Linked DNA regions of Lonchura striata. The protein of the gene in region 1 purifies or fractionates together with the protein of each later gene. This does not show direct contact. Links are inferred from orthologs where the notes say so. Each region holds a gene or a part of one and is shown on either strand. Other genes may lie near its edges.

Evidence for each region.
Region 2: the proteins of RRP1B (region 1) and SRSF6 purify together in Homo sapiens (affinity purification with mass spectrometry; 3 studies listed by BioGRID and IntAct, with this or other methods). This does not show direct contact. The link is inferred for Lonchura striata from reciprocal best matches to the Homo sapiens genes RRP1B and SRSF6.

Annotation. Positions count from the first base shown.
Region 1 is NC_134604.1:111,745,392-111,757,145, forward strand, and holds the start of RRP1B (ribosomal RNA processing protein 1 homolog B), read right to left. Parts: upstream 4,618-11,754; 5' UTR 4,538-4,617; coding exon 4,405-4,537; intron 482-4,404; coding exon 381-481; intron 1-380. Other genes in the region: HSF2BP (heat shock factor 2-binding protein), read left to right, coding at 5,589-5,624, 7,648-7,798. UniProt on the Homo sapiens protein: Positively regulates DNA damage-induced apoptosis by acting as a transcriptional coactivator of proapoptotic target genes of the transcriptional activator E2F1.
Region 2 is NC_134619.1:13,767,464-13,778,155, forward strand, and holds SRSF6 (serine/arginine-rich splicing factor 6), read right to left. Parts: upstream 4,602-10,692; 5' UTR 4,421-4,601; coding exon 4,314-4,420; intron 4,123-4,313; coding exon 3,974-4,122; intron 2,699-3,973; coding exon 2,571-2,698; intron 2,404-2,570; coding exon 2,195-2,403; intron 1,589-2,194; coding exon 1,499-1,588; intron 1,384-1,498; coding exon 1,020-1,383; 3' UTR 895-1,019; downstream 1-894. UniProt on the Homo sapiens protein: Plays a role in constitutive splicing and modulates the selection of alternative splice sites. Plays a role in the alternative splicing of MAPT/Tau exon 10. Binds to alternative exons of TNC pre-mRNA and promotes the expression of alternatively spliced TNC.

The DNA.
Region 1 (11,754 bases):
GTAGAAGAAGTGCTACTGAAATAACAAAGGAAAAGGAAATTTGGAACTTTCACACTAAAATCTGCACAAATGTTGTAGCTGCAGCTAAGGGCAACCTGCTGTTACTGTTGTAGATACATAAAATAAACATTTTATGAGGTATTTGTTTTAGCTCTCCTTTTGAAAGGTAAACAGCTACACCTGCCCCACAGAAGGTGACTCCTAAGATGATCTGTTCATGTTCAGAACACCGAGTTACAGTCCCCTCTTCTCCTGCACGTGCCACAGATGGGCTGCAGGGGAAGGGAAAAAAAGATAATTTTCTGCATTCTAAATTAGTATGTCCCTAGAGTGTATTTTGGAGGGCCCCCCTCAAGCAAATACAAACCCAGTTACTGTACCTGAAGCAGAGGTTTATCTTGCATCCACATACAATAGAAAAGGCCCTTCCATATTTTCAGCAGTTCTTCCTGACTGAAGCCACCTATGGTACAGAACAAGTCTGAATTAAATAAAAAAACCACTCATTTCCACCAAAATATTTTCATTCAGCTCCCCCTATTCCCTGCTTTCTTCTTTGTTTTAGTTATTTTCTCTGGGTTGCTACTGTAAGCACATTAATTGGAAGGCAATTTGGCATAGAACAGTGATAGAAACTGTTCTACCTTGTACTGAAGCAACAAAGATTTCAAAGCAATCACAGGGAAGATGAATACTGAGGTAATTCTGATAAATGCCTCTGGCATATTTTTCACACCAAGCCTGAAAGAAGTTTTTAATGAGAGTATCAGAAATAGTTTTACAAGAAACATGATATTTTTTATTTTGCTGTTTTTAACAAGTCTCACTCTACCAATAATTTTACTCCTTCCTAGAGGTTTGTTTTGATAGAATGAACTTCTAGGAATCAGCACATTTATTTCTACATTAAACTTTATAGTCAAAGAGCTTGAGCAACTATAACAAAAGGTTTTCTGATACAGTTAGTCTTGGGATGTAGTAAAACCTGAATTTTAACAGCAAAAAAATATTTTCACATTCCAGAAGTAAAGTACTACATGGAAATACTAATACCTGCTCAAGAACTAGATTTTTCATTACATCGGCTAAATTTATGTGAAGTAAAATTTTAACAGTACATTGTTACAAGGCAGCTACAATGACCTACTACAGTTATTTTCAAACTATGGCCTATTAAATATTCCCAAGCAATCCCATAAAAAAAACACTTTGAAAAGGTCATCATCTTCAGTAAGCTCAAATTTGCTCCAAAAAGATCATTGTCTCAAAAAAAGTCAAAAAGTCTGAAACCCAGTGCAAGATCTAAATTGTGCACCTTCCTTTGGACCAAAGGACAAAAACACCTGCACACAGATTAGTCCTGCTTGGTTGAAAAGAAAAGAAGTGAGAAAATAGGCAAAATGCTATGTAGGAAGCAATGTGTCCAGTAATATTAAGCATTAAATTTAGATTTGACAATACTGTTACGATAAAATATGAAACAAATTTATTAACGGAATTAATATTTATTGAAATATTAAAATTAATAACATTTCTTAACTGAATTATATGTGACATACTGAGTGGTAAGAAGCAGTTTCAACCTTACTGGCAGCATGAACCCTACAGAAGTATCAGACAGAGGCATCACCTGCTACCTATAGATGTGGCTCAGGAGTTCCCAGAATTGTATCACAGAATTATTCAGGTTGGAAAAGACCTCTCAGATAATCACTGCCAAGGCCACCACTAAACCCTATCCCCAAGTGCCACATCTACACATCTTTTAAATCCCTCCAGGGACATTAACTCCACCACTGCCCTGAACAGCCTGTTCCTGTGCTCTGAGGGAAGAAAACACACACTTTTATGAGGTTGCTTTTCATACACACAGGGCTTTTTAAAGCGTCCTAGGCAGTCCTGTGCCAATTTGACATAAGACTCTGACCAAAAATTACAGCAATTTTCTTATCCTAATGTCTCAAAAGAGTAGTTTCAATATAGTGTTTTCTGTTCAGCTTTATGTGCTGTTCCCCAGCCACAGCTGGCAAATAATAACCATTAAAGTTATTTTAAAACCCGAATGCATTGTATTAACAACCACAGTGCCCAGAACTGAAGGCCTTCTATACCTTGAACCTATCCTGAGAAAGATTGTGGCTTTAGGGCTTGAATTTCAACTGTCCCTCTGCACAGTAACTCTGTTCTGTGTACTGTGGGAGCTGGGATTAACACATTACAACCACTCAGAGCTACTTTACTGCAAGCCTTGTCAGCCTCTCTGTCTGGGAGTTTGGCTGCTTTGACACTGTTATAATTGAATTTGTTACCATTTTTCCTTTTCTAGATAATTGCAATGGACCAGATCCACACAGGGATATTTCAGTGGAAATTACAGAAATCCTTTACAGATCCAGGCACAAGTCAGCACAGCTCTGTCAGACAGGAAACCCACCCAGCAATCTGCCCTCTTTTACTGGAAGTTATTTCTGTTTACTGTTCTTTCTTCAATTAATTTGGTTAGTTCAATGCCTTCCACAGAGCTTAATTTCTTGAAAATTAAGAGCTCTGGCTCTGTGAAGAAGCTCCCTCAGCCTTAGCACAGACCAACAGAGCAGTCCTGTCCACCTAATAAACACCTGAGAGCCCTGAACATCAGGTGAATTCCATCACTTCTGCCAGAAGTCAGCACATTCTCAACTCCTCAGGTCAGGGCATCCTACCTGGGTTACCTGATGTGTGAATCCCTCTCAGAACACTGGAGATGGGTACAAGACTGCTAATTAATAAATTAACTGTAAAAAAACCCTCTCTCCTGAACATGCTTTTTCTCCAAGCCCGAAGTACTTAATCTTCGTTTCAATACCACCTAACAGCAAGTAAATCTAAGAGCTCTGGAAATTAGTCACCCTTGTTTCCTACTCATTTGCATCCCATGGTGTGCTGATTGTAACATGCAAAAGGTTCACAGCCCAACTGAGCAATTTCCCTGTGATGCTTTCATGATGCTCTAAAGCAGTGCCTGAACCTGTTCCCCCTTAGAAAGTCTCCAGAGCTAAAAAATAGAATGTTCTTGGGAGATACATGATGTACACTGTCCTAGTGCCCAGGAAATCCCTAAATCTATGTTAACTGCCAGGAATGGGATAATGCCTGTTTGGCTCCCTGGCCTGACCCTGTAAGACTGTTCTAGGTGTCCTACCCTCTGTCAGATGTGGCTAATGGGTCAAATACTACTTGGAAAGACAAGAAGCAATATTCTCTCTACAGTCTTTTCAAGGAAGTCATGGAGGTCCAGCCAGCACTCCAGATTAGCTCCTGAGGCCAGCTCTAGGCTGGTTCCCCAAAGCCATACATATATAATATATACTAATATATAAAATATACTTGTAAAATGCAATAATAAATAATTAGAATATATGGTAATAGAATACTGTAGAATGCAGCTTATAAAATATATGTTTTATAGAAAAGAAACATAAAATAGAGATTATACATTACATTATATGTAATATGAGGTATAGGAATAATACACATCCATGTGGAAACTGTGCACCCGAGGCATTTTCAGGTACACGGACCTTCAGACTGGCCTTGCCAGCCTCAAACAGACTCCAAGGACACCACTGAACTCTTAGTTCTAAGGTGCCAATATATAGCTCCAAGTAGAATTTTTGGAAAAACGAAGAAAAATGCTTTCGTTAGCATGAAGTGAAGGTAACAAGTAACCTAAATGTGTTACACAGAACCAGCTGCAATTACACAAGTGCTGAAGCATGTAGCTTTCCTCGATTCCCTCCGATGCTCCTGAATATCAGTCACGGAAACAGACAGACATCAGCTCACAGAAACAACAGAAGATGAAACTTTATGCAGCATATACCGGGATGTTTCCAGCCTGGATCACTTCAGTGCATTTACACCCCTGTTCCTTGGGAACGAGAGCACACGAGCCACCCTGCTCCCATCCCGGATTTGTTAATGTTGCCAGCAAAACCCTCCCTCGATCCAAGCTGATCCTTCCCGAGCTCCTCCAGTGCCCGGAGACACTTCCCGAGCGAGGATCCAGAGCGCCTCGGCTCCCGGGTGCTGCTGGGGCTGCGCTTGCGGCAGCACCGGGGCAACACGTGCGTATACAGGGCGAAAAAAAAAAAAAAAAAAAAAAAAGGCAAAAATGGGAAAAATTGGTAAAGTCAAAAAAAAACAACAACAAAGCCCTAAAAAACCCAACAAAGAGAAAAAAAAAAAAAAAAAAAAGCCCGAGGAGGCGTGCCGGGCTCAGGGCGCACACGTGCTGTTTCCTTCCCTCCCCGTGCCGTCCGTCCGCCGGGGCCGCCGCTCCCCCCGCCACGGCACCGGCACCGGGACCCGTCCCCGTCCCTCCCCCGGTCCCTGCCCGCCGCCCCGGCCCGGTCCGGTCCGTACCGCCGGGGCGCTGGCTCCGCACGCCGATGTAGCCCCGCAGCTTTTTGAGGGCGCGGTCTCGGATGCGCTTCTCGTTGGCGGCCAAGCGCTGCGCGAACTGCACCTCGGGCGGCTGCACGGCCGCGGGAGCCATGGCCCGGCCTGCCCGTGTCCCTGCGTGTCCCGGCCCGTGTCCGTGTCCCGGCCCGGCCCGCCCGCGCCGCGCTCCGCCCGATGCCGTCAGCGGCGCCGGGCTGTGCCGTCACCGCGGGGAAGGCGGAGCGCAGGGACGGCAGCGCCGCGGAGTTCGGGGCTGGCCGGCACCTGGCTCACCCACGGGAGGCACCCGCGGGATCCCCACCGCCCGCAGCGCCCGCAGATCATCACGGCTGGAAAAGAACTCTGAGGTCATCGAGTCCAGCCTGTGGCCGATCACCCACGGCAGTGGTGCCGCGTCCTTCCCGAACGGAGGGACCCAGAACGGGACACAGCACCTGAGATGTGCCCTACACAATCATTGCCCTGGTTCCGCTGGCCACACCATTGCTGACACAAGCCAGGTGCCATTGGCCTTATTGGCCACCTGGGCACACCTGGCTCATGTTCGGCCTCTGCTGACCAGCACCCCAGCTCCTTTTCCTCCGTGCAGCTTTCCAGACTCTCTTTCCCCAGCCTGGAGCTGCAGGGGCTTGTTGTGACCCAAGTGCAGGACCCGGCAGTTGGCCTTGCTGAACCTCCCACCACTCGGTCCTTCCATCCAGCCTGCCCAGATCCCCCTGCAGAGGCTCTCTGCCCTCCAGCAGATCAATCCTCCCTCCCAACTTGCTGTCGCTCCCTGCACCCTCCAGCGGCACCACGGCACGGCCGGGCTGCAGCTCCACAACCCGGTGTAGTCCCGGCATTGTCACGGTTGTTCTCCCGGTGTTATCCCACCTCTACCCCAGCGTTATCGCGGTGTTGTCCCAGTGTCATCCCGATGTTTTATCCCGGTGTTATCCCGCGGCCGCTCCGGGCGGGGCTGGGGGCGGAGCCTGAGTACCAGACCACGCCCCCACACGGGACTAGCCAATCGGAGCGGGCGCGGCCACAGGGGGCGTGGCCACAGGGGCGTGGCCGCCGCGCTCCGCTCCCTCACGCTGCCCCGCTGTCGCCGCTCGCTGTCGCCGCTGTCGCCGCTCGCTGTCGCCGCTGTCGCCGCTGTCGCGATGTGGCGCAGCGCCGGCCTCGCTGGCGACGCGCAGGTATCGCGAGCGGCCCGGGGCTGCCTCAGAGGCCGGGCCCGGCCGGAGGTCCCTGCGGGTGCCTCGAGCAGCAGAAGCAGCGGGGGCTGTGTGGTGGCCTTACGGGGCGCTGAGGAGGCGACGGCGGGGCCGCAGGGAGAGGGCAGCGTGGTGGGGCTGGGGAGCCACAGGCGCCCTGGGCTGGTGGGGAGTGAGTGGGGAAAGGCTGGCAGGGAGTCCGTGCTGGGGAGCTCTGCCCTGTTCGGCCCCTGGAGTGGCAGGGGAGGGAGATTCCCGTCCCTGGGCTCACACCGGGCAGGGCATGAGCTCAGGTGCATTGCTGGGTGACTTCACCCCTGTGAAAGAACTCGAATTTCCTACTTCCTGGCACCTGCCGTTACCTGGACAGAAAACTCCTGTTCTCCCCTGTATTTGCCTTTAACATACTCTTGTAGTGCAGAGAGATGTGGAGAAGCTGCTTAAACAGAGAAAATAAAACTTGCCTGCTGTAGCTGCAGCGCTGCAAAGACTTGTGCTTACAGTGGGAACTACAAAGGAGAATTTTCTCCTTACCGCATATTTTATATTTCAACACCAGTGATTCACAGGCTGTTTTACTTGAATTCAGCTGTTAGTGAACAGAGCTATTTTTATGTACGAAATTTTGCTCTGTAAGTCTGAGTAATACTGAATTCTCTCTGTCATTCGTGGTTGCTGACACGCAGATGGCATTCCTCTAAAGACTCCTCTTCCCATGTGTTTGCTCCATGCTTTTTTGAGACCTAGATGGGTGGAATTTTTCTAGAGTCATGTAATTATGTAGTGCTAGTTAGCCTATGAACCTTGCCATAAGCACTTCCTCGATGCAGCTTAAAGCTTGCAGTTCAAATTAAAGCAAAATTTTTCTTCCCTACCTTCATTACAGCTCTGAACCTGCAGTGGTGGCACTGATCTGTCCCAGAACTCTCTGGATTTGAAATACAGCTGAGAAAGAAATAGAGTAGGAAGCAAAACTGAAAGGAAATGTTCAATGTGAGGAAGTAGGAAAGCAGAAAGAACTGTAGGGAATGGTTGGAGAGGATGACTTCCATTTGTCTTGTGTGTCTACTCGTGAGAGGACTGCAGGGATGGCACATTTTGAACCTCTAGGAGATGAGATTTAGGTTTGTTAGCCTTTTCCCTCTGGAATGTGATACATAAAGCATCTCATTTTGTCAGCACTGTTCTCAGTGCAGTGCAAAGCGCTGCTAAGATTTAACCTTGCTTTCTGGAAGCATATTGAGTGATTGATGTTTTAGTCAAAATACATTAAAACTTTCTTTTTTGTTTGGTGTGTGTGTATCCGCCTTTTAAACATCTAGCAGAGTGCACATGTATACATCAGAAATTGGACTTTATGGGGTTTTTTGTACAGAAATTGCTCTGTAATTTTAAGATTTAACACATATTCTGCTGGAATGTTGAATGAAAATTATTCTATAGCTATAGTTTGGCAGAAGAGGAAGCTAGTAAACATTTCTGTCTTACCTTGGGATTAAATTTTTTATGTGAGATTGAGTTGCAGATGGTTGCAAATAATTTTTGCTCTTCACAAAAGATAAATTGGTTTGAAAACGGTACAGTTTCTTCCAAGAGAGTTGTTGTAATTTAGAACTGAGGATCTTGCAAATGTTTGAATTAATTAAAAAGCTGAGTAATTGTGTCCTTTACGACAGTCGTGAAACAACAGCTTGGTGCATGCTGCTCACATTTTAAAATGTGAGTGTTAATTTTTGCAGCATTCCCAAATGTATTTTACACATTTTGGGTGAAGAAACACATGAAGAGAGGTAATGCTATTTACTTAAGGCCACAGTGGCAAAAATGAAGATAACAGTCAAAGGGTCAACCTCAGAGACTTTGGGGTTGATTGCTGGATAATTCTCTATAAAAAGTTACAAATTGCTGAAATAATGTCATAGGACTGTATATACAGGACTGCAGCTGTGTCTTTGGTTGGTTGTTGGTTTGGTTTTTTTTTTTTTGCTTTGTTGTTTTATTTCAGAAGGCTGAGACCAAAGAGGAATTCGTAAAAGTCAGAAGGAGGGATTTGGAAAGGCTGACAACTGAAGTTATGCAACTGCGGGATTTCTTACCCAAAATAGTAAATGGAGATATCCTGGGGACATTCCAGAAGCTGGATGCTATTGAATCAAGTGAGTAGCACCATCTTACAAGCTCTTGCAGTTTCTGCCAGAACTGCTTAGAACAAACTGTTGTGCTCCAGAAATAGTTGTAGAGTTTATGGAGCTATTCCAGATTCAACTGTGTTGTTCAGTGACTGCTTCAGTAAATTAATGTGTTTGTAGTGAAGAAAATTACAGGCTGCCTTAGGAATAATCAGACATGTCAAATTAATCTTTAAAAATATTTTACTGTGGATAAAAACATATATGGTTCAGGCAGTAAGGGAAGCTGTATGAGGAACAAAAAGTGTTTTCCCCAAAAAACATTTTGTTTTTCTAATGGTGACTTTCACAAAAAAAAAAGACCCAACAACAAAATAATGGTAAATAGCAGTGGGTAAAAATCTGAAGAGTGAGTTAATACTGTATTTGGCCTGTCTAGTTTGTATGCTTTACTAATAAAAAAAGAAAAGATTCTGTAATAAAAGTCTTTTTATCGCTGTCCCCAAAGTCCATTTTTTTCAATGCTGGATTTCTCTGTGCGTTATTTTTTCAAAAAAAAACCCATTCCCAACATGCCATCAGGGCCAAATAGGAGTCAGCTCCATCCCTGGTCTGTAGTTTACCTGGAGCTGTACAATTTATCTGGAATTGGGTTTGCCTGAAAAGACATGGAACAAGCACTGAGACAGATTACTGAGGGTGTGTCTCTTCTAGAATACCAAGTAATAAATGGAAAATTAATTTCCAACAGGCAGCTAAGGAAAAGCAAGGTAGGGCCTCAAGGCCTGTGTCTGACAATGTAATATATTGAGACAAATCTTCCTACTGCCTCAGTGATTCACTTTTTGGGAAGATTCTTCCATGTTACAAGCAGTGGATAAAATCTGGAAGTGTTCTCTGTTGCAGGGCATCAGGGACTGTTTCCAGTTGTGTTAAGCGTTCAGAATCCTCAATTCGTTTTTTCCTCCTTGTCTTGAGATTCCTCTCACTGTTCCCTTCTTACATTCCTTGTGCCAGGCATCAAGGAGACCCTGTCAGGGCCATCCAGAGCAGGCTCATGGCATCAACATGGGATTTTAAGACTCCTTGAAATGTTCTGCTGGCTGTCCAGCATTCTCTGGGTCCTCCAGGGCAGAACCTGAAGCTGAGACAGCTTTTGAATTCTCTGGAGTCTTTCTCCACAGTGGAGATTTCTCTTGCAGGTGATGAGATAATTTGTATATTTATTCAGGCTCTAGCCATTATGTGCCCCCACAACTGGACAAGTCAAGTGGAGATTTTTGCTGCTCCAATCTCCTCCTACCTCTGCAGCATGAAATAAGGCAGACTGGAAGGAGGCTTTTGAGCATGCAAATCACTAAAGGTTGGACATCACAAGGACACAAGCAGCCTCACTCTCAGAATGGTGCTGTTTGCTATATACAGCCTCTTGGTGTGGCATGTGAAGCTCACAGGAGTCCTGGCAGCTTCCAGAGATATTTTTTCATATTGTTCTTACAGAAGCCTAATGTGTGATTTGTACATCTCCAGACTTCCATCAGCTGTTGCAGTTTCCTGGGTACTGTTGAAGTGTGCTTTAACAGCAGAGTCTGCTGCTCCTCAATAAGTGCAGATTGCAGTAGAGACTTTCAAAACCTCTGACCCATTCAGTTGTGAGAATGATGGAGTCTTGAACAGCTTTGAGAAACCTTGAGATCTTTGCATGTTTCCCTGGTGTGTGTAGATCAATAGGACCCCCATTTCCTGTGGATTCCCAGGGTTGATCTCTGAGATCTAAGCTGGCAATCCCCAGTGCAGCCAACACCTGCTTTTCAGGCTGCTGTCAGGGTCTTCATTAAGATTTTTGCCAGGGTCATTGTTAATTTCTAAAAGAGGGTTCTGTTTTGTTTTTATTACCCTTCTCAGGAAGAGTGCTTGGTTCCAGAGTCTTAGAAATACAGCTCCAGCAATTTTCCTGTATTATGGATATGTTTAGTGGAACTCACTCCACTTGGGGAGAGTTAAAAATATCATTTAACACTGATCTAGCATTTGGATAAGTAGAGTTGGAGTTCCATCACTTCTCGTCATTCATTCGTATTGTAGTCAGTTTTCCACCTCCCAGGGCTTTGAGATTAGACACGTAGTCCAGAAAAATCTCCTGGTATGACCTATAATTTTATGTGGATGAGACCAAGTCTACCTCACATCTGAAATGGGGACCTTGTGATTTTTTGCTGTGCCCAGTGTTCTGTTCTTCTTTTGAGTCTCTTTGGGAGCAAGTGCCACTTCTTCCCAGAGTCTGATTCACCACTGCAGTGGTGAAGTTACCATTTCAGTTGTGTGAAGTGTGAAGGTGCCATTTCAATTTTTTTGTTACTCACCCAAGTTGCTAGTGAAAGCTGCTTCTTTCTCTTCAGAGCAAAGGCACAGCTGGGAGAGCTGACTGGGCAGAGCAGGAGAGTTTCCACCAATGAGGAAGAACTGGAAATAAGTATTTTTTCAGCAGCTTCCACTATTGTCGTTTTTTGCCCCTTCTACATAAAATTTTGTGATATCTTAGAGGATGTTGACACATCTTTCTGTTATCTGAAGCCCTTTAAAAAGCCCAGGTTGCATTGTGTTAACACTCAGTAGTCAATATTTCTCCCCTTCTGGCTCAGGTTTTGTTCTGGGACCTTTGCAGTTTGCTGGTGAAGGATGTGGCATCTTCGTTTGTCTGCTGGCTGGATTCAGGTTGGATCCATCCTCTCAAAGGCTAGAAGTGATTTTTCTCTTTCTGAAGAGCTTGTTTCCTTGCAGGAACAGAGATTTTCATTGTTACCTGGCAAGGCTCTTGGCCTGCTGTAGGCAAGCAGAGCATGTTCTACCCCTGCTCAAGACATATTGCTGTCAACTTCTTAGGACTCAGACCCACATAGTCAGAAGTGCACGAGACTGAATTTTCTTGTCTTGACAGAAGGAAAATTTGTTGCCACTGAACAGAGTTATCCCCAAAAACCTCAATTAATCCATTCCTCCCTTCATTCTTTTCCTTTGGACTGCAGATTGAAAAGAAGTGAGTTGCTCAGAGAGCATGTCCTGGCACAGAGATGTTTGTCAGCTGTGAATCCTTGCCTTGCCTCTTTGCTTTTTGCTAAAAAATGTTGCTGGCTCGGAATCACACAAGGGCTGAATGAAAATATACCTCTTCAGATAAATCAGCCACAAACAGCTTTCTTCCTTTTATACATGCTACTCAAAGCAATATGTGTATACTTAAGATGATAAACTTGTCAATTAGGACCAAAACAGGAAGGTATTTATTTTCAAATAATGTAGAATTACTAAACAGAATGCCAGAAGCCAAGTCCTTTGTTTAATAAGAACATATTTGAATAATTTTTAATGATGTTGTCTTTTTATGATAGAATTTGATATGATTTTTGGTAATTACATCAAAAAATACTGTGACATATTGGGGGAAGTATTTCAAATATGTTAAGCTGTAGACCAAACTGTCATGTTCAAGGGTATGGTGTTTGAAGTGGGGTATAATTTTTTTTTTCAACTAACCAAGGTTATAGTAGATGCTGTTTGGATTTTACTTTTTGGAACGACTCAAACATGCTTCCTTTTTTCAGTATAAATACTAAGCATCCAAAACTGTTTTTTTAAAAGTAAAATACAATACACAGTTATTGTTAAAACTGTCCTTCAGAGAGAATTTTTTTAAACAGGCATCATGCTGGTGAAATGGATTACTTTTTACTTGATTTCTGTTCACTAAAATAAAGTGCCTAAATTAGAATGAATTTCTGATAACATCAGAAATTAATTTTATAAAAGAATCATAAAATTGGCTTGTGACTGACATAATGTTTAAATAGTTTATAATAATGGGATCACAGAATGTGTTGGGTTGGTAGGGATCTTAAAGATCATCCAGTTCTAACCTCATTGCCATGGGCAGAGAGAGCTTTCATGAGCCCAGGTTGCTTATACTACTTTATAAATACTATTTT
Region 2 (10,692 bases), on another chromosome or scaffold:
TTTTGGGATGAATCTTATTCCACAATTTAAGTGAACTGGCAACTGTGGTTTAGCAAAGCCTTTGTTAAAACTAGAATTCTAGCTCCAAGAGAATACATTTCCAATAAAGTTCGGACCTACACACAAGAGGATTATAGTTCTCCTAGTCTGAAGCAAAACGTTAACATAAGTGAGTCAAAGGTGAGGGAAGACAGATTTCTTTACCTGGGTTTCATGTCCAATGGGGATTCAGAGGCTGACAAACCAAACAGCATACTAACAACTTGGACCACAGCCAAGAGACACCTTCGTGCCTGACAACAGTGACACTTGAGATTCAAGCAAGAAAAGTTTTTATTCTTTTCAAGTCTGGAACAAAGGGGTTTTCAGCAATACTGTAGGATACAGGTTCCAGAGTACCTTTGTTACCTTTAATACAGTCTCAGTATGACGGGAATGTTCTTTTGGCAAGTCAAGGTACAACCTAAGTCAACCTAAGTCCTCCAACTTGAATTTATTGCTGGTCTAAAATCTTCCTAGTACTGTTACTGTTTTATACAGTTTGCTGACTGCTTCCAAAATTAAGATAGACTGTGCAACCTGTCCAGCAAGGCAATCCTGCCTTTGGCAGCAAGCTGAAACCTATGAAACTAATGACACCCATAGTTCTAATGCCATGAAAAAAAATAGGAAAAAAGGATACTTTCAAAAAGCCCATATTTAAGCCTGTTTATATTCAGTTTATTTTTAATATAAAAACCACTTTGCATTGAAGAGTAGTTAAGTTACTCCTGCAGAAATGCTATAAAATCAAACTTTCAGCTCAATTTCTACAAAATGGGGACTCTTCTTGCTTTGTACCACCATTCCACCTGGTATTGTCAAATCTTGGATACAAATTAAACCTTTATGCCTTAGTTCTTAGGCCATTCACTCCTGCAAGCGAAATACCCAACTTCTGAAGTACTAACATAACACTAATGGCCTGACAGGTAGGAAAATGTTCCGTAAGTGTGCAAGGTGAGAGGAGAGTTGTAGTCCTAATCTCTTGAACTGGATCTTGATCGTGAGCGGGACTTTGAGCGAGACCTGGAGCGCGATCTGGACGTGGCTCTTTTGGGCGGCGACTCGGAGCGAGCCTTGGCAGACGGCTGCTGCTGTGGCGAGTTGGAGCGAGACCTGCTCCTGGACCTGGACTTAGACTTAGCATCCCCTTTACCATTTTCTTTGGGAGATCGAGACCTGGACCTGGATCTGGACCGGGACTTCTCAGACTTCTCCTTGGATCTGCTGTGCGAGCGTGAACCCCTGTCAGACTTGGGTTTGGATTTGCTCTTTGATCTGGACTTCCTGCTTTTTGATCGGGAACGGGAGCGGTCTTTGCTTCGTGACCTGGATTTAGATCTTTCAAAGAGAGAGAGAGTTTATTCTGCATGGCCTGCACTGCACTCCCAGCAGCTGTAAACACCTGTCAGTGAGGGAGCTCCTGCACTGGCAGCGCTAACACTGAGGCACTTACCGGGAACGGCTTTTGGAGACACTACGGGATCTGCTGCGGCTGCTCCGACTCCTCCGACTTCTGCTTCTAGACCGTCTCCTGGATCGTGACCTGCAGACATTTAAAATGTCATTCCCTTTCTCTTGGCCTGGTTGTGCCCAACATCTTTAAGTGTATGATGGAACGGATCTTAAACATCACCTTGTTCCACCCCCTGCCGTGGGCAGGGACACCTTCCACTACCCCAGGTGATTACATACATATTATATAAACCTTCTATTAAACTTTAAAAATTCTCTACAAATCTATTTCCTACACCAGGTTGCTCCAAGCCCTGTCCAACCTGGCCTTGGTCACTTCCAGGGATCAAGGGACAGCCACAGTTTCTCTGGAAAATCTTCCTGATTGCACTTAATACACTGTGCTATCTAGCAGCATAATCTAACAGAGAAAAGCTGCTACAGAACTTCTCAAGAGCAAGGGTGGTCCTACCAGGGTAGATTCAACATACTGTTAGTGAATCACATCTGAAGTTTCACATGTGGAAAAACTGCTCAAACCTGGCTCTGCCATATGATGCAAAATATTTCCTTCTACACTGAGGCCTCCTCCTACTCCTAAGCCATGAGCTCAAGGTAACTGCTGCAGGTAGGGCACCCATCCCCAGGCTGATTGTAACCACTTTTGCTGCAGTGACCAGCGTGTCCCCCGAGTTACCTGGACCTGCTGCCAGAGTAGGATCTCCTGTGGCTGGAGCGTGGCTTGTCCTCCACCAGCCTGATCTTCCTGCCATTTATCTCTGTGCCATCCAGCTTGTCCAGGGCGCGCTTCATGTCAGAGTATGACCGGAACTCGATCACTCCTTCATTTGTACGTTCTTTGTGGGCATCTGCATAGGTCACCTCCCCAGCCTGCCTCATGAAATCCTGCAGGGAGCACAGGGCAGCTACAGAACGGGGAGCTGTGCCCGCAGCACGCAATGTGCACAAACACTTTCAAATTATTCTACTGCAACAAAATCAACATTGCTAATAAAGGAAGTCATTGCTTCCTGATATGCACAACAGACTTCACACGGAACATCAATACCTACTTTTAAATCCTGCCAACTACAGCGACTGGAAAGGTTCTCAACAATCAGCCTGAACTCTGTACGAACGGGCGGTCCGTATTTATCTCGTCCCGACTGTCTCCGACTGCTATATCCGCCACCACCCCCACCTTGATTGTACAAAGAAACAAAGTTAGGTTGTCTCCTAGCACGAAGGAAGCTCAATGTTCTGAAAAAGTTAGTTTAACAGTCATATTTACTGGAGTAGGACTTTATTTCGCTAAGCCTCCAATAAACTTTGCAATTTTGCCATGATCTATATTAATGGCAAATCAAACAGACTAACATCCTACAAGTCTGTGCTCCTAAGATCTGTTAGAGAGTGACTGCTCCTTATTAGATTCACCTTGCTAAGTTTTATTTTACAGAACATTGTAAAATATAAAACTTAACTGATTACATGCATTTCTACATTTTACAAAAACGTTTACTAGTTACACTAAGTACTTACATCACAGTATGAGGTTTTTGGTGGTGGATTGGCCACAAAACACGCAAGGTAACAGTCACCTAGTTCAGTTTAACCAGTTTTGTCTAACCCTTGGAATCCTCACCATCACCCTGCGTCTAATGGCAAAAGGCTGCTGTCGTCATGGCTTCCGGTAAGGTCAGCCAAAGGGTCATAGGGCAAGGGTCACACAATGTATGGAAAAGCCATGGCCAGGAAAGGCAGTCATCTTAGCCTCAGTGGACACAGCCTCAGCCCCACTGGTCACTTTTAAATTGAAACATCAAGGACTTGTTAAAAAGTTTGAATTGAACATGCAACAATTTTAAAACAACATACATTTGATTTTTTTAAAAAGACAAAAACCCACCCCCCCCAACACCACGATTCCAAACACCAACGAAAAATCAACCTTAGTACTTTTAGTTACAGTACTAGGCCATTCAAGCTCTACACAGCTCGGCTCAAGAAGCTACACAAGCGAGCTGAGCACAGAAATATTTACAATACCCGCCCCCCCTTCAGAGCAACAGATTCCTGCTCCAAAACCTCCCCCCGCCCCTCCCATATATCCAACTGAATGAATCACGTCAAAGCTCACAGCTGGGCCCCCGCTACACAACGATAATTTATACAGTAACATTACTGATGCAACATCGCTGTCACATCTAAATGCTCCCAGGAATACTGGAGCCGTTAATTAGCAGAGCAAACCCTTTCTAGAAGGCCGCGATTTGGCAGCCACAACTGCTCCGGGATACCCGAGGGCACCGCTGGTGCCGAGGAAAACGCTGCAGCCCCAGCGGTGCACCGGGTACCCCCCGCTAACGACCTCCCCCACCCAGCCCCGGGGCGCGGTGCCAGCCGAGCCCTGCCCGCCCCCGGCCCTGCCCGCCGCCGCCCCGAGCCCCTCGGGGAGGGCCGGGCCCGGACTCACTGCGGCTGCTGTAACTGTAGCCGTCCCTGTCGCGGCGGGGGCCGCGGGCGTGCTCCACGATAACCCGCTCCCCGCACAGGTCCTTCCCGTTCAGCTCGTACACGGCATCGTCGGCGTCGCGGGAGTCCTCGAACTCCACGAAGCCGTAGCTGGGCAGAGGAGAAAGGCCGGGTCAGGCGGCGGGCGCACCGCGCCCCGGTGCCCGCTGCGAGCCGCGGCCGCTCCGCTCCGCTCCCCCCCGCCGCCATCTTGCGCCGGCGCCACGCGGCAGCGGCCGCGACATGGACGGGCCCGGCCGGCCCGGGGCCTCGGCAGGGGCGGACGGACCAACGGCGCTCACCCGTTTTTGAGATCGACCTCGAGCAGGCGGCCGTAGCCGCTGAAGAAGCGCTGGATGTCCTTCTCCCGGACGTGGTAGCTCAGGCGGCCGATGTAGACGCGCGGCATGTCCGCGGCGGTGGGGGAGAGGAGGGGAGGGAGAGGAAAGGAGAGGAGGAGGAAGAGGAAGGGAAAAGAAAAGAGACAAAGAGAGAAAGAGAGAGAAGGAGCGAGAGCGCTGCCGGCGTGAGGGGTGGAGGCGCTGCGGGCCCGCTCCGCACGGCCGGGCCTGGCGCACCACAATGGCGCCCGCCAGCCGCCGCCGCTTTTATAGCAGGAGGCGGGGCACGCACGACGTCACCGCGCCGCCGCGCGTGCTCGGGGGGCGCTGGTTGAGCGCTGTGTGTGCGCGCGCGCGCGCGCGGGAGCGCGGGCGGGTGCAGCGGGTGCGCAGGACCTGCGCGCGGTTCTGCGCATGCGCTGCCAGCTCGCGGCGCCTCAGGCGTCAGTGCCCCAGAGCCCCGCGGCCACACTCCTGCTGCAGGGGCAGGCACAGGCTGCCCTTCTCTCTCTGCCCCTCGGCATGCTGCAGACCTTTGCTGGTTCCCCCCTTGATGCTGCTCTTGCCCAGCTCGCTCAGCCTGTCCCAGCTTCCTTTCTGCCCTTCCCCGACCTCTTGCAGCTCAGTTCCAGTGCTCCTTTGGGCAGGAGCTGCCAGAACTGCAGCCAGGATTTCAAGTCCATGCTAAGCAGGATTTAGGCAGTGCCACAAGGACGTGCTCTCCATCAGGGAGGAAGGCAAGAGCAAACACCCCCAGCATTTCCTTCCCTGGGGCTGGGCTGACAGGAGTGGTGTTCCACCTCTCCCATATAGAGTTTCCATGGCTCCATCCCCGAGAGCCCCACTGCCCTCTCTTGGAGCAGCAATGGCCAGATCAGTCTGTCATTCTCTGCTGCCACTCAGGACGAGTTCTCCCTTGCAGGCACACGTCCTGGTGTGGATCAGCACTTGGCTTTCCTCTCTTCTCTCCCCACTGGCTGCTCTCAGATGGCCAAGGCCAAACACCTTTCTATTAACAGCAAACTTGGTCAGCTCACCCCTCCTTCCCCTGCAGATATTTAGGAATCTGGACATGGGTTTGAACACAAGGAATTCCCCAAACCATGCAATGTCCATAGAGAGATTGTGCATATTGAAAACTAAAGCTTCTAGGAAACAGAAGCCCAGCATGGAGGAAAATCAGCAGCCTCAGCATTAACTGGCTTTGGCATGACTACAACATCTCCTCCTTATTCAAAAGAATTCAATTGGAAAAGTTCAACTGGAAAAATCTGCTTCTTAGAACTATTAAAACAAGTTTCAAAGCAAGCTAGGAATTGGCCCTCTGTGACATCTGCCAATCTCACCAGCACATCCTTCCTTTCCTTCTCCAGGTTCTCCAATTTCCTCTTCAGAGATGCCACCTCCTGACGAAGAGTCACAGCCTCTTCCTGTCTTTCAGTGGCCTCTTTCTCCAGGGCAGCTTCTCGAGAAATCTGCTGGACTGCTGCGTTCCACCAATCTGCAGCAGGGAAGGGGAAGGAGAAGGGGAAGAGGACAAGCAAAGCAAAGTCACACTGATGTGCATCCTGCAGAGACAACAGCACTGTCTTCTCTGCCTGCCGGTGTTTGCCAGGCCCTAAGCATACAAGGGCTCCAAAGCTGACAGAAATGAAGGAAACTTCCAGGCAGAGAGAAAAGCAGGAATGAAAGGAGCAAGGTTCAGAGGGCTAGGAATGTGTGTTTGCTCTTGGCCTTGTGCAGAGTGAGCAATCCAGGAGGGACAAAGGAGAGGGGATGCCTGTGCAGCCCTGCTCAGAGGCCAATGGCCCTGGAGGCTCTGGCAGGGCCTGGAGTTTGGGGGAATCGAGCTGAGGCACCCAGCTACAGCTCCTTAACAGAGACACGGCCCATGAAAGACTCCAGCCCAGGAGCAGCCCTAGCACAGCCAGATGGCTCTGAAAGCCACAGCATCTTTCTCAAGAAAAAGCTTTCACTGGCACTTGGATGGATAAATTTCCTGCTGGTTGTTTTTCCCCTCTGCCATCTCTGAGCACTTTTCCTCTGCGAGGCATCAGCGAAATCCCTGCAGGTGGGACAGGATGGGGCAGTGGCTGGGGGAGGAGAAGCTGTACCTTGCTCAAGTTCCTCCAGCTGTTTCATGAGCTCCTGATTTTGGGCTCTGAGATTGTCCCTCTGAGCCTGTGTCTTCCTCAGCCCCAGCTCCATGGCCTTACACTGTGTGGCCATGGCCTCTGCTCTTTCCTCAGAGCTCTGGAGCCTCACACACAGCTCGGACACCTCAGATTCCAGCAGCTCCTTCTCTTCAGTTGCCTGCTGAGTTGTCTTCTCTATCTCTGCCAGCAGCATGGCCTGCATCTGGAAGATGGATGCACAGAGCCTCAGGGACAGGGCTGCTCCTCGCAGGGAGAGGAATGAAAGAGAAATTATTTCAGGCAAAAGCCATGCCAAAACCAGAATGAACGGAAGCAAGGATTCCAATGGAGACAAATGTAGAGAAAAGAGGGAAAGGGAGGCAGTGGGCATCCTTGAGGCTGCAGCTCTGAACAGCAGCTGGCTGAGATGGCTGCGCTGGAAGTGCCCTGCCCAGCCTGCCACAGCCACCTCTGTGTCCCCACATTGCTCAGTGCCAGCACAGGCACCAACTCTGTCTGGGACAACACTGCTCATGGAGGGACAGAGGAGCTCCAGAGGAGGCTGCTGCTGCTTCCCCTCCCAGATTTCCTGCTGGGAGCCGGGAGAGAACGGTGCAAAACTTCGGCAGCAGACAGCAGATCCAGCCTGGGCCTCAGGGTGCAGCAGCAGCCCCGGGCAGAACACGGCAGCTGTGGATGCTGCCGGGAGGGGAAAGAGCTTGGGGCCTCCAAGCCAAAGGTGCTGTTGTGTGTCCCTGGAGAAGAGGATGCCACTGCACAGCTTACCTGGGTATTGAGCTCCTGCATTTGCCTTCTATGCTCAGAACAGAGCTGCCCAGCCTGCTTAAGAGCAGAAAATAACTGAGACACACGATTTTTCAGTGCCAGGTTCTGTTCTTCCAGCATTCTGAGGCACTGGTTCTCCTTCAGAGACAGAATCAGCCTAGAAGGAAAGCCCAAGAGAGCCCCAGGATCCATCCCACAGAGCCCTGTCACAGCTTCCTGAAAGCCCAGGTTGCCCCAAGGGCTTTGTATACGGCGTCCCTTCCAGGCAGAGCTGCACAGGAGAATCCCAAATATCTGCCTGGAGTCACCAGGTCCTGTGTCCTGACTTCCCTTTAATGTTCTGAATTAGGAAAATTCTCCCAATCTCTTGATAAAAATCCTCTTAATATGCGGATAAATGCACTCTTACTGTCTGCTGGGCTTTACATTCAAAGTATTTGTAGCGTACACTATGATTTGTATACTTGAGACAAACTTCTGCATATCTAATTATTATATTGTATTACATTAAATATTTCAATTTTATATAAGCATTTCTATTCAAATGCAGATAACATTTTTATGTTGCATACTACATAATCAAAATTTAGTCCTACTCCAGGATTTTTGCCAGCTATTTTAAAAGCATCTTGCGTTCTCATGCTTCCATGCTGGAAAATCCCTGCCTGTGACAGCCCAGGGCACCACCACTGCCTTCCCTTTCCAGGGTGTTGCCCTGAGTGAATCTGTAACAAAGCAACTGCTGATTTGAGATACAGAACTGGGAGAATCTCTCAAGTCTCGGGTGTTTTGCATTTAATACAAGCTTGATGCACGAGTGCAACAGGCAGTGAGTGACCTGTTAAAGTGGAAAAGGCTTGAATGATTTCACAAATTTGTGGGGTGTTTTCTGTGTGCAATTACAGCAACTAATTTAAAAGTTGCTATATTATTTTTTTTTTCCTACAATATCTAGGTATTGTGACTTGTAAATTTAGTCATTACACATCTCTATGTAGAAAATTGAAAAAGCCTTGTCTAAGTCCTGAATAGCCCAACGCAGAGAGGAACAGTACGAGATATGTTCTATTTTGTCCCTGAACCTAAAGCTCTCAGGGAACTGTTGGGATGTAGCTCACAGTCAGGATTTTCCATATTTGGCTGTTCTGTTGGAGAACAAGCTCTGAAGCACTAGAGCTTTCTCAGAAACTGGTAAATGGGAAAACTGTTTATTACTAAAGTGTCACAGTGTCTCTGAGCCTCTCCTCTGGGCAGCAACACCATTGCACTGACTGGACATACACAGAACTAAGGATGAATTCTATCAAAAACTTAAGATGTAGAAAACCCCATTATTTAAGTAATTTGTGTCTCCTTTGGGATAACTGCAGGTTGTAACGCCTAGTCCCAAAGCTCCTCTTCCCACCATAATTGCATTCTGTTATTTTCTACTCCTGTTCTCCTCGGGAAATGACTCCTTGGCACAAATTTAAAAACCATTGATAGGGGCATTCCCCTGGAATTGTCTGTGCTGGCACCTATGGAGCTGCCTGTAAAACCCACTGGAAGCAACCCCATTAGACAGGTGCAGCTAAACCATTCTGTGCCTGGTGAAGGCAGTGTGAAAGCCTGGAGTAATGTCCAAGGATAAAAGAGGAAAACTCAACCTGGTTTTAAGGGCTTCTCTGCAGATGGATGCCCTTCAGGACCAGAGCCCTGAGGAGCTGTCTTTCTCCAAATATCTGCCCTTCAGTGCTGTTTTCATAGCTCATAAAAGTTGCTCTCTCGTGGGTGATGATGCTCATTTCAACATCTCTGCCTCTCAGTATAAAGAATTTCTTTCCCTGTTCCAACAGGGAAAAATAAATTCTTGATGGCAAAAGTGCCATCCATGCAACCTCTGAGCTCTGAGCCCTCAGCTGGTGTTTACATCAGCACCTTTTCTGGGGAGAACATCCCGTTGCTGTGCCCTGGAGGTGGATGAAATGCAGCCCGTTCAGCTCAGGACCTTACAGAGCAGGAATGATCACAGGCCTGTGCTTCCAGCCTGGGTTTTGTGCACACAGAGAGCTGGGCTTTGGCTCTGCCCACCCTGAGACCACGGGTGGTGGCAAACAAAATTACATGAGGGAATTGGTTCCCCTGTAATGAGACCACCCAACAAACCCTCTCCCAAAAGCAAAGTCAGGTTAGAAAAATCCCCAGACGAGTCAGCAACAAAACAAGACTAGAGACAGATCAGGAAAGGGACGAACAGTACTAGGAATGCATTTGCTGGGTCAGGGAGTGTCGAGATGGGAAAAGGAGACACAGTTCCCTGCTTCCTGCTCGTGTGTGAGCAGATCCAGCGGAATCTCAGCACAGGCACTTCCCTGGGGCTGGGCCAGCACAGCCCCCAGAGCAGCTCCACAGCCAGAGCTCCTTTCTCCAAACATCAGTGCCTGGGCGCCGTGTGCTCTTTGGAATACGCAGAGGATGTGACACACGGGATGAGGAGTCCCATGGCCCACGGGATGCTGATACGCCAGCACTGGCTGTTTGATGTGTCTTTCAGGCTTCAGGGGCCCTGATAATGTGATGGCTGTCTCTGGTGGAACATCTCAAGGCCCCTGGCAGGTGGCAGCAGAGTGAGATTTGCTGAGGCCACAAGGAAAGGAAGCGAGGATTCATGTTAGGATCTCGTCCTTTTGTTTTGTTTTTCCATTTCCATCCTTCAGAAGGAATCCAGAGTCTTGGTACCACACCTTCCTCCCTCAAACCACACCTGCCCTCTCAAGCCATTTGCAAATATTTCCTTCTCACATCCCCTGTTCTTTTTTCAGTGTTTGTCCCCCATAATCAGTGATGTGTTTTTCACATTGTTTGTTCTTCTTCTAGCTTTCTTCCACCTTGGTCCTGGATTAGGACAAACCTGGAGCCCAGAAGGTGAATGGCAAAACCTCCCCCTGTTCCAAGGCCATTTAGGGACCGCTCTGACCAGCCTTGGCTGTAATTAGGATAGCCTCACCCTTGTCATGTCTTATTCTCTTTCGGTCTGTTGGAAATCCAGGAACACAAGAATTGGCTGTGAAACAGTGACACAGGGGTGAACCCCATCTCCCCCACAGTCCAAGCAGGCTGGCAGCGGTTGCTCAGAGCAGATGCAGATAAGATCCAATTATCTTCTCCATCCTTCCGGATCAGTGCCTGACCTCTCCCTGTGTGCCCTGTCATTTTTACACCCTTGATTGGCAGTCCTGTTCCTGACACCCACGAGCACACAGCAGGCCCAGCCCTGAATCCACAGCTTTTCTCACACCCAGAGGGATGTGTGCTCCTGGGACTCAGCATAAACCCCAAACCTGTGAGTTTTATGGTTTGTTCCACCAAGTCAGCTGGAGCTGCACAAGTGGGAGCTGCAGCTCTGTAGTTCAACCTTTGTTCCTTTTCCCTGGGCACTT